Drosophila melanogaster: one gene and its partner. The protein of the gene in region 2 interacts with the protein of the main gene of each other region in a pairwise test. Each region holds a gene or a part of one and is shown on either strand. Other genes may lie near its edges.

Region 1 (3,857 bases), on a different chromosome or scaffold from region 2:
CGGTAATGGTGATATTGGTTTGTTAGCTCAGGTGCTGCGGATGTTTGCTGGCTTGTCTCTTTATCTGGCGGCACTGCAACGTGGTCTGTGGGTGAAAGAGAATAGTAGAAAAGTAGAAAAATTCAGAAACGTAAGCACATATGTATCTTTTTGGGTCGCACATACAAAAAATACAAGATAAGCGGCGAGTCATTTTCACCAATACGAAAGTTAAGATAATAGAAATGATATTTAACTGCGCTGAAGGAACATCCGCTGGATAGTTACCTTATCGCAGACATATGTCAATGAATGTACTATAACTTAGAAACACTTCAGCGACTAACTTTGTTTATAATTCCGGATTTTATAATTTTAATCAGGTGAAACGTCATCAGCAGGTGAATTCTTATCAGGAGTTTGTTCTCACCTCTCTACGACTGTATTCTACTCAAAGCTCCATCCAAACGGGGTTGAATAAACTTATTAACTACTAAAATACTAATTAGCATAGCAAAACAAAAGTTTGCTTCCACGTCCGCGGAAATTCGGTTTTTTTGGTTCTGTTCTTGGCGCTGTTCTAATGCCATTCACACGGGCACGCCTTCATTGTAAACAGCTGTTCGGACATTCACAACGAAGGAGGGGCGTCGTAAAGGGGGATTACATGGTTGCCCAGTTTCAATTCAAAATTATTAACAAGATAAATATTGTAACATTCAAATACTTGTTATGATTATTTTTTAACAACTTCTCGCTTTATTGGTTCACTCAACTATCCAGTTTCCTAGGCAATGTTCAACATCTTCTTGACCTCCTCCTTGTATTTGCCCAAGTTGTACTCGTTTTCGCCTTCGTTTATCAGTTTCTCCACGCATTCAGCGAATGACTTGCTGGGAACCACTTTTGGAGCACCCTTCTTGGCGTTCCAGTTGAGGATTCCCTCGGCGGAGACCTTCGACTGGTTACGCTCGAACAGATAGACCTCCATGTCGGCCTCCGATTTGGTGGCCTCCCACGGCTCGGTGACAAAGGATTCGTGATAGCAAGCGGTGAGCAGATACAGGGCGTAGTCGTAGTTCTGCTTCTTCTGCGGACAGCGATCCGTGACGAAGGTAACGAGGTCCGTGTCCTTGTTGTAGCGATCGCCCACCAGGCGCAGGAACTTATCCCTGGCGTGCGCATCGAACTTCAGGTCAGAGAGCTTCAGGGTAATGGTGACGCGCCTGGCCTCCGGATTCCTGATCGTGGGCAAACTCTGGCAGTAGTCTGTGGTGGTGACCTCCAGGGGGAAGTGGCGCTGCCACTTGGCCTCTGTCTCCAGACCCTTTGGCCATGGCGTGCAGAACTTCTTGATGGCTTCGCATTGCTGACGGATGGCCGGCGGTGTCAAGTGCAGAAAGTTGGGTATCTTCATCAGCTCTGCATTGGCGAACTTCGACGGAGCTGCTGCTCCGCGTTCCGTGAATCCCTGCCGCAGTGGCAGAGGCACACTGGCCGGGTGGAACGAACGTGGTCCTGGCCAAACGGCCGTCCAGTCCTGATCCACCGCCATGCGGCCAGTGCGCGGCGGTGTGATGGGATCCCGACGGACCTGCTGGCGCTTCTGCATCTGCTGCTTCACCGTCCGCAGGCTGAGCACTCGGAATTCTGGCCGATCAGGAAGATATATCCATTATAAAACGTGTAAGCCAGGGAAACTTAATTGTTTACCTTCATCATCCTCAATTTCTTGCCGCTGCTCCTGGTTGGAAAAAACACGAATACCGCTTTGCGCCGTCTGTTTTTTCAGTGGCAGGCGCTCCAACAGGCGAGTCAGCGCACTGGACATGGTTTTATGTTTAATTTTAAGCTTAGATACCTAATTTTAACTAATATTTCCAGCGATTTATGCGGCTTTTACGTAAACCATGCGCCAACGAACATTCATTCGCGCCGAATAGCAAGCAATCAGCTGTTTACAGAAACTTGCCATTCACAGAGAAGCATACAAATAAAAGTAACGTCTTTTTAAATCATTTTGTAAACTGCTAGTTGTTTTTATTTGTACTTCATTTTTAGCTGAGGGTTTAATAAATTCTGGTAGTTCGGTTAAATTTTGCTAGAATAGTATCCGTTCTTAAACTTTTAGCAGCACCATGAAGAAATACGTCATCTTTTTCTTTTATATATATATATATTTATTCAGGTAAAATAATAAAAAATATAACTCTCATGTACTGTAATATGGCTAAAAAGGATAAGTTCAATCACACCCATGTCGGAATCACCGTTCGGGATCCCAAATCCCTCGTCACCTCGCCGTCTCGTGCAAGTGCTCCTTTTATGTACATTATTTATTATTAGTAAAACAATAGAAAACATTGCGTTATGCTGTAAGCCCCGTGAACTATAGCTACCGTTAACCTAGTCGATCTGTGAAGCAGTTGCCTAGTGGATCTCCTGCTTCCACTTGTCGCGCGCCTCCAGTTTGGCCTCCGGAATCAGCGAGCTCTTGGCGCCGCCCAGGATGTTGGTGGTGGCCTGGGTGGCCAGCACCGCCGGGCAGACGACCAGCTGAGGGATCTGGCGTACCACCGCGCCCACCGCTCCGCTGTAGCCCTTCTGGTCGTGCTCCGTGATGGCGGCTTCGATGAGTGTGTTGGCCGATTCGTTGATGCCCTCTCTCACTATGGTATAGGCGTTGGCCACGCCCTCGCGCAGGTCCTTGGGTCGTCCCTGTCGCCTCCGTTTGCCCTGCCTGCCGCCCTTCCGCTTCTTCATGGAAGGACCTGCAGATAGCATATCGAAGGTAGTCTCCGCCGTGAATTGCAGCAGGTGTATAATCCTGGAGGTGATCTCCAAGGCAGCCAGCGCTGTGCGAGCGGTGAAACTCTGGGCACCCAACTGGAATCCCCTGATAATTCGTCCATCCTTGTTGTACTGCTCGATGGGCAGCCGGAAAAGATCGTAGATACCCTGGAAAAGCTGCAGCACCGCATTCGTGGGTCCAATCCCGCTTAGGATATTGGGCAATTGATTCCGCTTGATGTCCTTCAGCCACTCCTTGGCCAGGAACTCGCACAGTTTGTTCCATCCCAGAATGCCTCTGCGGTTCACAATTTCCCTCAAATTAATTCCGGATCCCTGCAGCTGGGCAAGACCCATGATTAGGCCGGTGACCGGTCCGCGGGAGAGTTCAATCCGCCGTCCATGATAGTCAAAGCAAATGGGTAGTGCTGGACTGAAGATCACCTCGCGGAAGAACACAGGTGGAGCCGTGGCAGGATCCTCCTCCAACTCCACATCCAAGCTGTTCTCTTCAATCAGCACATTCAGGTTCCTCTCCACCATCTCCTTAACTTCCGAATCGGGCAATTTATCGGATAACTCCTCCGGCATTTTGCTCACCGACATCACCGGCATATCCGTGGCCGACGAACTGCTGCCCTCCGTTTTGGTGCCACCAGCAGCACTAGCGGAGTTTCGGAACATGCCCGAAAAGAAGTCCTCGAGAAAGAGCAGAGTATCCTGGTCAATGTTGAGTTTTATGGGCAAAATGGAGACCCTCAGGGAGCACTCTTCCGCGGAGCTCTTTTGCGGATTCGGACGCACATTCAGAGCCTTCACTATGACCATGTTCTCGTCCGGCTTATGGGATAAATTGTTGCCCGTCGGATGGTACAGAAACTTGTTAATGTCCGAGGAGCGCAACCTATCTCTTATTTCAATTTCCGACACAAGGAGCACCTGACGGGACGAGTACATGGAGGTCAACGGATAGGTTTCGTAGGAGAATCGAATCTTGGAGAGCTGCATCTCCACTAGAACCTCCAGATTGCGCTGCGATCCTTTGGGTTGTTTGAGCAGACCCTTCTTGGAACCCTTTTTGTCCTGTT
Region 2 (3,652 bases):
CAATCACAAAGCCAATGATGCCGAACCACATGGGCTCCAATGGAGGCCACTGGTACCAGTACGGATCCACCATGTGCATAATCTCGGCGGGCACACTCTCCGCCAGGCTGAGATTGCGCCCATCGCGCATATAGGCGAAGCTCGGGGGATGCAGGCTGGCCATTTCGAATGGCTGGTACTGGTGGCGCTTCGGTGGTGGCTTCGTCTAAACTTGGATGGCTGGCTACTCTGCTGCGGCGACTACTCGCTGTCCATAGCAGGACGGCTGACTCTCGGGACGCGAACTCGGCGGCAATGCCTGGGGCGGACCATGGTCGTCTGGTCTTTATATGGCCACTTGTGTACAACGCGTCTTAGACTAATTGCCCTAATCCAATTAGCCGGCACTTGGCCAATCCAAAGCTAACCGTTCGAATTGGGCTTTCGATTGCCGCTCGTTTGCTGCGTTGGATTAGCAGCAGTCGCGTCATTTTGAAATCGTCTTAGCCGCCACAACGGACAAGGTCAAGTTTGAGGTACCACCCACCCGGCAATTAGATTAAGACAAACGCTTTCCTGCTTCCTCAAGTTCACGTTTTACTAACACACTCTGGACTCGACTCTCTCTCTCAGGAGTGCCAATGGTAGCCCAGCTTGCGGGCGCCCCTCATCACGGAGGACAGCTGAAACTGTAGGCTGCCGTACGACTCCATAGAGAGTCCCTTGCACTTCAGGTTGTCCAGCAGCACTTTGGGGTCCTTCAGCTCCGGCTCGCGGCGCAGCAGCCAACTGGTGATGTCCGCCATCATGTTGGGGCACTTGGGCATCAGGATGGGCGCCTGCAGCTGCTCCGTCTGATCCGCTGGACGACGACTGCCGAAAACGGGCAGGTGGATGTGAGCGTAACCGAGTAGTGTCTCCCTGCCCAGGCCACTGCGTCCGAACACGGTCACCAGGATCTGTGGCCCTGGAAACCAAAAGAATTGGAGATCTTGTTGGTGTAACTTCAATCTGATTCGAAAAATTGTTAATAGCTGAGCTGAGAAAGAATATAGTAAACTAATCGATTCTGTACTATTACTCACAGCCATATGGACTGGTGCTCTTGTAGGTCACCTCGATGGGCATATTGAAGACAATCGGTTCGTTGAAATGGCCCCTTCTATTGGTGGCCAGCTGGGTGAGTCCGTGCTGGGGTCCGGAGGACAGCTGCCAGTCGGGACCAGCGACCATTTCGTAGCGCAGGAAGACGAACTCCTTGTCGGGACCCAGGGGAAAGGTGGCCGAGACTATTTGGCCCACGATGCTCAAACTAAAGTAGCTGGCAGTGGCTTTCGCGTCCATTGCATTGGGAACACTTTCTTTGGCACTCCGGGACTTCTTTTTGGCCTTCTTGGCCTTTTGTTTATGTTTTTCATGCGGCGGAGTGGTTTCCTCGTTGCCCGGGAGACTGATGCCTTCGCTGGCGCTCATGGTGGTGGTTGCCGACTCACAACGGGGTGTGTTTCCAGCCAAGTCGAGTGCCAACTATTTTCCACCTGCCAAAACTGACTTGGCCACAAACTAAGTGTTGAAAGTGGTCAAAAAATATGACAGCTTGGACCGAAAAAAAAGGGATATTTTCTATAACAATCGATATATTGGGATTATATAGCAAAAATTGTTCGATTTATTTCATACGATTTTTGTTAAATGCATTATTGTATTAATTTGATGTTTATGACTTGCAAGATCGGAAACGAAATGATTGTAAACAATTTCCTCTATATTTTGATGATTCTTAAGGTTGAGTAATAGGAATTCCCCAGAGACACTCAACAAACGGATGGTTTATGGCCTGTCTGCATTTAATAATAGTTTAGATAAAACTGCGATGATAATTTCTATTTTTCTCTGATTCAATGAGGCAACATGTTCATAAATCACATTAATGATTCCTTTCGTTATGTATTGTAACCAGTTGGTGGATTTCCTTTGTTTCGTTAGTTAAGTATTCGCACACTTTGTCATGTCGACAGCAATGTAATTTAATTCCAACCGACATCGCTGGTTACATGGACATCGAGTGGTTCTGGCTTCCAATTTGCATACTCCGATCCAGATCGAGATCGAAGAAACATATCTGCACACCGCTGGTAAGTGACAATTACAAGATAATAACTCATTCTGCAGACCGGCAGTCTGGGCGGGGCAAAAGGTCAATTTCAATTTCGATTCGACTCACAACTCTTGGTCGGTCGTGTAATTAATGCTGTAATGGCCATTTAGCAATTTATAGCTGCCAACGTGGCATGGTCGTAAATCATTGTAACAATTGCCGGCGCTACCGAAGTCTACAGGAAGTCGCGCCTTCGATCTTCGATCCCCCGGTGCCGCTCCCTATTAGCATGATGCATTATGCAATGGCCAGTGGACAAGTAGCCAAGTAGCCAACTGGCCAACAGCCAGGCAGTCAGTCAGTTAGTCAGTTAGTTAGTCAATTAGTCAGTCAGTCAGTTAATCAGTTAATCATGCTGGGCGTAAATAAAATGCGCCTCAAGTAATGTCAATGGTTCAAGGCGAACTCCCGGCTCACCTGGCATCTTCCACGAGCCACGCAGATGATCTTCGCACCCATCGGATTGGATCGTCGTCAGTGCAGCTGTGGAGCTGAGTGGTGGCACAGCTGGGACAGCCGATTGGTGTTGCAATCAGAGTCGGATCAAGTGCTTACACTGGAAGAAAATTCCACTTACCTGTTCATTACCTATTCATTAATAAAACGATGGCTGTGGTAAATATTATTTGCAACTGTATTTTATTCAAAAACTAACTGACAAATTATTAAAGTATTTTCAGTAGTTAAAAAAAAAAAAAACAAGTATTGTTTATAAAAATAAATTAAGATTAAATGCATTACTTATCGGAAATTACCCATTAATAAGCACTGTGTACCCAAAGTTGGCGATGATGTTTCATTACATTCCAACTATGTATATAGTTTTCCCGCTTAATCTGGCATTTCGAGCAGTGTAATGTGTGTGGCATGTGCAGTTCCATGAAATAAGCTCCTTTTGATTGCCAAAACAAAAGCTTAGGCTTAGTCAGTCAGCCCAAAAGCAAAGGCAAAAGCAAAAGTAAAGCCATCAGAAATTGGACATCAGGCCATATGCCAAATCCAAAGCTAAAAGCCGCTCAATTCGCTGCTGCAATCGGAGATAGTGCTGATGCAGCGCAGAATCGACATAATTTGGGCTCGAGTTTAGCTATATGGCATTATACTCGTAGCATTATGCTGTGCGATTTTGATTTCGACAATTTTTCCACTTCTAATACTGAAGAATATGCCGCCTGCAGGCAAACTGACACACACAGACACACAGCCATTGTGAATTCAATTACGTTTTTGGAATCAATGAACGGAGGCATTATTCAGAAGAAATATTCATTTTGGAGTCTTATATAAAACCGATTCATATCCATTGAATGACCGGCCAGCCTGGTGTAAATGAAAATTTTCAATTGAAGTCTTTTGCAAGTGCATTAGCCACTCGAGGAGTTGCATTACTGAAAGTCGAGCGTCGTGTGTTGAACCGATTTGCGAAATGCGAATTTCTGGATCGGTTCAGGGACGGATTAGGGTCGAAATCATCTACAGATGGCGGATATCTTTCCCCGAACTAACAGACTAGCA

The links.
Region 1: the proteins of B9d1 (region 2) and mRpS35 interact in a two-hybrid assay, tested with the Drosophila melanogaster proteins (one large-scale study listed by BioGRID).

What each region holds. Positions count from the first base shown.
Region 1 is NT_037436.4:2,778,966-2,782,822, reverse strand, and holds mRpS35 (mitochondrial ribosomal protein S35), read right to left. Parts: upstream 1,925-3,857; 5' UTR 1,811-1,924; coding exon 1,693-1,810; intron 1,630-1,692; coding exon 767-1,629; 3' UTR 718-766; downstream 1-717. Other genes in the region: Atg2 (Autophagy-related 2), read right to left, coding at 2,410-3,857.
Region 2 is NT_033777.3:15,479,807-15,483,458, reverse strand, and holds B9d1 (B9d1), read right to left. Parts: upstream 1,554-3,652; 5' UTR 1,453-1,553; coding exon 1,065-1,452; intron 947-1,064; coding exon 609-946; 3' UTR 555-608; downstream 1-554. UniProt on the Drosophila melanogaster protein: Probable component of the tectonic-like complex (also named MKS complex), a complex localized at the transition zone of primary cilia. Required for ciliary structure and function.